Linked DNA regions of Drosophila melanogaster. Changing the gene in region 1 together with any one later gene gives a genetic interaction. Each region holds a gene or a part of one and is shown on either strand. Other genes may lie near its edges.

What was found. Genes that interact genetically often act in the same process or in processes that back each other up.
Region 2: of upd2 (region 1) and PGRP-SD, changing one suppresses a phenotype caused by changing the other (phenotypic suppression), as found in Drosophila melanogaster (one study listed by BioGRID).

What each region holds. Positions count from the first base shown.
Region 1 is NC_004354.4:18,241,620-18,245,375, reverse strand, and holds the start of upd2 (unpaired 2), read left to right. Parts: upstream 1-2,091; 5' UTR 2,092-2,156; coding exon 2,157-2,178; intron 2,179-2,284; coding exon 2,285-2,811; intron 2,812-3,158; coding exon 3,159-3,296; intron 3,297-3,494; coding exon 3,495-3,756.
Region 2 is NT_037436.4:7,649,080-7,652,456, reverse strand, and holds PGRP-SD (peptidoglycan recognition protein SD), read right to left. Parts: upstream 1,278-3,377; 5' UTR 1,253-1,277; coding exon 692-1,252; 3' UTR 557-691; downstream 1-556. Other genes in the region: CG7492 (uncharacterized protein), read left to right, coding at 1-147. UniProt on the Drosophila melanogaster protein: Peptidoglycan-recognition protein that plays a key role in innate immunity by binding to peptidoglycans (PGN) of Gram-positive bacteria and activating the Toll pathway. Has no activity against on Gram-negative bacteria and fungi.

The sequences.
Region 1 (3,756 bases):
TAGCAAGATAGCCGTAGAAGGCACAGGCAGGCAGGCAGATAGCAGGAGCACCCCAATGAAGCGGTAACGCCGACTGCAACGCCGACAGAGGCAGCGACTGCTGCTGCTGCTGCTGCTGGGACTGCCTCACAGGCGGCAATCGCCGGCGATTTTCGTATAAATATAAAATTATGCGACGGCCCGAGACCATGAATCAGTTTCGCTTAGACACACGCCAATGCTAATTGTCCCGCGTTGTGAGCACAGCCCAACAATCGGAGTAAAGATACCGAAACACCCGCGACACACAATTACCAATCCGCACTAGAACGAACACAAATAGAATAATATTATAATATTATAATAGCCCATCTGACTGAACTGATCAGATCTGATCTCCGATCACTTCACTCCAGTTATCACTGGCATTGCCACCACACACACACACGCAGTATTATGGATGTTGCCAAAATAGAACGTGATCCGGTCCCAAAAATGCGACTTCACAGTGAGTATGGATCGGTTTGGGTGCAAAGTCCCTGCGAAATTAGATCACCGCTTTCCCAGTTAGAAGATAACTTTCCCCGTTCATTTCGCAATTGTTTATAAAAAGATGATTTGCTAGCTGACTGGCTGGCTAGCTGGCTAACTGGCCCATTACGGAATACCTTCGATCGGTTCCCATGATTAATGCTGTGTGCTCAACTTGGCCAGCTTGCCAGTTTGCCTATTTGGCAGTGTGCTAGTGTACTAGTGCCTTTTGCTTTCTGGGCTTTCTGGGGTGAATCCCCTTTGCCGGATGGCGAGTGATCGAACTGTTAATAATCGGCTTCGACGCTAATGCCAATGCTAGTGAATGGCAAGGTGGAATGTGCGAAGGCGCGATGGTGTTACCTCCAAAAGGGGCTCAATTAAAGACAGGTTAATTATAAACCAAATTTATAAAAATAACAGCTTAATTTTGATACAACAATATGTATCATATGTAGATAGTTGTAAATGGTAGCAGTGAAATCCCACCATTCAGTTGGCATTTGCCAATCGATTCGTCAACTTGAAGCCCTTCCTCTTCCCGACTATCTAGATACCTCGCATGACCAAGTTCCATCCTCGAATGATAAGAACACTAGCAACTTTCGTTGGCCAAGATCGTAGAGCATTAATCATCGCATTGCGTTCAAGCAGAACTTTCCAATATCCCGATAACCGACCAATTAGTGTTTATGGCCTTGGCCAGCTGATCAACTTGGCCAACCGCAGCAACAGCAACAGCAACAGCAACAACAACAACTAGTACTATAGCAGCACGTGCCTTATCGCAGTCGCAGAACCGCCGACAGCTCAGTCGGCGTCGTTATCAAGTCGCTGACCTACGACAACAGAGACGCCGAACGGCTGGCTGGATTGTTATTGGTCGGTGCGGAGCGAGCGGTCTGCTGAGCGGCAAAACGAATTATTCAAAGGTCGAGCGCGCTGCTATGGGCGGTGGGCGGTGGGTGGGTACGCTGGCTACGTCACCGTTGGCCGCAGACTCCGACGCCGACGCGCAGAGCGTCTGGGTAGCGTCTGGTCTGGCCTGGTATGGTCGCGTCGGGTCGGATCGGGTCGGAAGTCGTGAATCGAAATCGAAATCCGAAATCCGAAAAAAAAACCCAAATACCTATGAGTAATCTTTCTGGTGAAATTCAGCCAAAAGGCGGCCGAGAGAGCGAGAGACGGCCGTCCAGTGCGACTGACTTTGAGAGCATGACAAATGCTCGAAAACCATATCAGAAAATTGCTCAAGGCCTCGAACGGGTCGGGCTGCTGTAATTGCACTCACTCACTCACTCACTCGCTCGTTCGCTCACTCGGGCGCTCTCGCTCGCACTCGCAGACGCGATCGATTGGGATTGGGAGATCGGCACGGAGAATGAGTCGAGCCGAGTCGAGTGGAAGTGGGAATGCGTGAGCGACGCCAGGCGGCTGGAGGCTTACAAATTTTCGAGCGCCGCTGCAGCCGCAGTCACTTAGCCATCAGCCGTCGAGCGGGAGAGACCGTGGAGCGATCAGCATCAGCAGCAGCAGCAGCAGCAGCAAGCGATTGTGATAGTTGGCCAGCCAGCTAGTCAGTCAGTTAGCCAGTTAGCCAAGTTAGCCAAGTTAGCCCAGTTAGTGTAGTGTTAGTGATAGGCGCAATGCCAGCCTTTACCTTAAACGGTACGCCCGCATTTCCACCAAACCACACACCCCACCGCCCACCACCCATTGCAAACTGATACGATGGCCAATCCACTAACGCATCCACCATCTCTACCACTTGCAGCCAGCCAACAGAGCCAAAGCAGCCGCAGCAGCAGGAGTGCACACAGCAGCTGGAGCTGCCACAGCCGGCAGGTGCTGCTAGTGATCATGATCCTGAGCGTCGTGATGCCATTCACCAAGGCGCGACACTTGCGCGACCAGGTGGCACTGGACTACGCCTACGACGAGGACAACTCCGGCCGATCTTCCTCGTCGTCATCGTCATCCTCATCATCGGGTGGCGACATCCTGCCCGCCTTCGATGTCAATCCGTATCGCGGTCTGGCCGATAGCTTCGGCGAGGGCAGCTACGACAGTGATATGAGTCTCAGCGAGAGTAGCTACGAGGAGATCGCCCAGGCGGCCATCCGGGCTGCCAGGCGGGAGATGCGCCGTCAGAGGACGCGACACGCGCGCAGCCACAACCTGCGACTCTTCTCCGGCAAATCAGAGATCCCGGAGTGGGAGAACCCGTGCGGAGGCACCTACACGCCCGACGAGAGCCTCAGCGATAGCAGCGCCAGCCAAGGACGAGTTATCAAGCGCAAGGTGAGCAGGGGATCCAAAATGTTATACATATAAATTTAAATGGGAGAGATGGTGACCTACCTCAATCTTGGCTATCACTTAGATTTGCTTCAGCACTTAAGGGCAATGGAGGAAAGCAACCTACACCAAGCTTTTCTTACATTGTTTGATAACAGTTTATATTTACATAGTCGCAACGCAGCTTCATAGATACTAAGATACATAGATACTTTTGTGCGTTGTGTGTCCTGTTAGCATCTTTAGCAGGACAGCTACTTAGGCAGTTAGTTGAACCCGAAACGTTCGAGAAATTCTGTCACACAGCCAATATGCATTACTCATCGATTTCCCCCGCTCTCCACTTGCAGCACCTCGAAAACTTGCGGAACATCACGATGAGCGAATACCAAGATATAACCCACCGCGCCACCCTGGAGTACGGCAATCTGCAGCACTGGCAGCGCGAGTACAAGTTCCTGCCGAACATGACGAGGCCCACAAGTGCGGTAAGTTGATACCGATGCAGACCGCGCCAAAGAGATCCATCCAAACCGAGGCGGTGAGACAGAGTGAAGCGGACCTGCTCCGCCCTGGGCGGCGCAGACCAGTTTCCCAGTCGGCCCGCCTCATTTGCATGCCCTTCCCAGCTGCGCAGCATCCACATGCAACAGTCACTGACGAGCACTCTTCTACTCAATTTACAGGTGAAGCTAAAGACTTGGTACCGCCACATGCAGACCTTCGTGGGCAGCTTCTCATATCTGGGACGGGCGCAGTACAAGTTCCGCAAGGATCAGCAGAAGAGCCTCAACGAGGCGGTCACCAAGGAGCTGCACGACCTGCTGGTCAGCGCGCGCTATATGCTCTGCGAGATCGAGTTGACCATAAACGCCTCCTATCCGAACAGCAATGGTGCGAAGCTGAGCCGCGTTAGCCGGCAGGCGATGGAGGAGCGTCTCAACTTTC
Region 2 (3,377 bases), on another chromosome or scaffold:
TGGCTGCTCCAGCTGGACTTTGCCCAACAGAGCGGAAACGGAAGCGGTATTGGCATAGGAATTGGCAATGGTAATATGAGCGGAAATGGCAGCATTGTCGGCAGTACAGACAGTGCGAGCGGCAGTTCAAATGGGAGTTTATATTAGTGCAATTTACCTAAGTACTTTACGAATTTTGTATAGTTCCTTGTTTTATATTTTCTAAATCTGTAATCTGTAACAGCATCTGTTGCCACGTTGCCGACTTTTGTTTACCTCTCTCGTTTGGCGCATTATCTACTGCATACCATTACGACTACGACTATGTTCACGTTCGTTCCATCTGCGTTCCGTGCTTCATCTAGGGTTCTGTATAGTTAGCTTAGTTTCTTGCGGAAGTTCCGGTTCGGTGAATGATGCTATGTGATGTCTCAAATCTCTATTGTGGCCCAGTGCACTGCTCCTGGGGAGCGGCCTGCTTATTAAACGGGTCTGGCAACAAACAAAAAAGTAAAAAAAAAAAAAAGCGGCAGCTGACAAAAATGTGCGAAGTCGAAGAAGTACATCGGAAACAGATCAACAAAATTAAAATTTTAGTATTCGTATTTAAGCAAAAAAAAAAAAAACAAATTATACATAATTATATTTACAAATAAATGTGTAAGGAGTGGTCTTTACGTGTCGAAACCTTATGCAATGCACACTCTATATTTCACATTTCTTCGGACCAGTTGGGCCACTGCTGTATCAGAGCGTAGAGTGCTTCTCCAGGACTCTTGGTAGCACTGACTTGACGATGGCCCAGTAACTTATAGCCCTCCACCAGCTGAGCCTGTTTGACAGCCTGCTCCAGCAGCTCCTTGGCGGCATCCAAGGCCTCCTTGTTGGGCGCCCGTTCTTCGAAGTTACCAATAAACGCAATGCCCAGGGAACCATCGTTATTGGGACCGGCAAAGGCTCCTCTCTGGCTTGGACTTCTGCCTTCGTATACCTTGCCATTACCGCCGATCAGATAGTGGTAGCCAATGTCCGAGAACTTTTGCTTGGACATCTGGAAGTTTTGCAGATTTTGCATGTGCTGGGAGCATGTAACATCATCCGCACAAGCTCCTCCAGCTGTATGGGCGATCACAGCACGTGGCAAGGGAGTTTCCATGCTGTCTATGGCTCCGTTCGGCGGTTTGGCATTCCACTCGGCCCTCGTCACGATCGGTACTTCCCCCTGGACAGCGATTGCTGTGAGGCCAACGATGAGCAAACCGATCCAAGTCATTCCACTTGCGTGTCTGTCAACTGACTGGGTTGGGATCTTATGGGCTGCGGCACCTATTGCCGCTGATAAGGGGAGTGCCCCCAAGGAGATAGTCATCCGACCCCATATAAATGAATGTATCATACATATATGAGGGGGATTTTTCTTGCCAGTGATAGATAATTGACAGGGGGTAACGATTATAAGAACAACTAGCATAGCAATATATCGTTCTCTCAGAATTTTTCTAAATGGGTAAAATTTGCCAAGCGAAATTCCCCTAAAAACTACAAGGCCACCACAAGGGGGACATATATGTAATAAAAAGTGTAAAATGTACATAGAACTTAAATCACTTACCACGTTCTTGTGAATTATTAAATAAAAATTTGCTGCTTTAGATTATTTCATAGTTCTTACTTATTTTACACTAACACTCGCGAATCAGCAGATTGAGCATTTTTACAGCATGTTGATTTGATGTTTTTCTTTGGCGGGATGTAATATTAATTTTACCGGAACACTCGTATTTATTTAGTTATAATCCCAATCTGACACAAACTATAATTAAACCGCACTATTTTTACGCGTTTCAATAACTGATTTCTTTTAATGCGATCGAATTAAGCGTTGAATTGCGTGTAATATCGACAATAGAAAAGAAGCCGAAAAAGTGAGCATTCGCGCAAGTGCCGCTATTTCTAGCTTGTAAGCCTGCCTTCGAGCAAGAACTAACTGTAATCAATTGCCTCTCTGTAAACAAACGTAAGTGTTTGATGCGATCGAATTACTCGCCGAATTGTGAGTCATAACCAAAGAAAGAGCGTGCTTTCGCGCAAGTGCCGTTATTTCGTCTTGCTTTCTTTAATCGAATATATTTCGGTCTCTTCTTTTGCAGCAGTTCTGTTTTTTTAGTGTGCGCGGAAGTACGTTCTGTTTGTATACTATTACCTCCTTTACTTATTAAACTAACTTTAAACAGTTATTTTAATAGTTAGATTCTACACAACGGCAACGTAGAATGATTTTTTACATACATAGGTCAGCTTAAAACAATTGTGAAATACTACTTAATAGCGAATGAATGAATAAAGCAAAGCTTTGGTTTCGGTTATTATTATTTTTTTTTTTTTGTTTTTTCTTTATGTGTTTTGTGTGTGTTTGATATATACATGTACATACATATGTATGTACATGCATACATAAGTATGTATGTATAAAAATAGTGAAATGCTTATACAGGAAGCCTGTATTCTTAAAAGATAAATATGATTAATATGTATAAATACAGAGAAAGTAAGGTAAGTAAGTTTTAATTTTTTACCTAATTAAAATAATTGGTTTGAAAATAATTGTACGCATAATTTAGTGTGTTGTGTACACTAATGTACATGTACAACTTTATATTGCAATTTCAATCTGAACATCCACTATCTAATGGTACACTTTATACCGCGTATTTCCCTTAAATGTATTGAGGCCCCCCGATTTATCCCTATTTTATGCCAGTTAATACGAGCCCACAGAAACCTCAACTTGACACAGATGTTCTAGGCAGTGATTTAATTAAAAAACTTTTGCAATTAAATGCAAAAACTGCAAAAAACAAAGCGGAGTGCAGGCCATTAAGCCCCCAAAAAAGGGCGTGATGAGGAAGTGAAGTCGCAAAGTGACAACGAAAATGCAAGTAAGCGCCCTCAATTAAAAGCCAAAATGAATATAAAATGCGATGGAAAAGGGATGAGAGTTGAGGGGAGAGTGGTGGGGAGAGCTAAGCCGCAACATCCAGAAAACCCGAAAAAGCCGGGCTAAAACCAAAAACCGAAGCCAAAACTATGCGCGGCTGGAAAAACCAGCTGGTGGCGGGAAAAACTCGCCGTTAACTTGAATTTAAGTGAGTTCTGAGTTGGGAGCACCCCTCCGCAAATCGGCTCCCTCAAAAAATCCGTGTTGTTTGGTTATTCGAATTGTTTTTTTTTTATTAGTAGGAGTTTTCCAATGTCCTGCAGAGAAAAACATATTTTTTTCGCCACTTCCATAGTCTCAATTTAATCTGTCCCGCATTTGGATGCAATTTTTGGGGCGCCAAGTTGGCTCATTTGCAAAATTGTCAGATTTATTTCGCTAATTGCTGCTCATCCGTTTA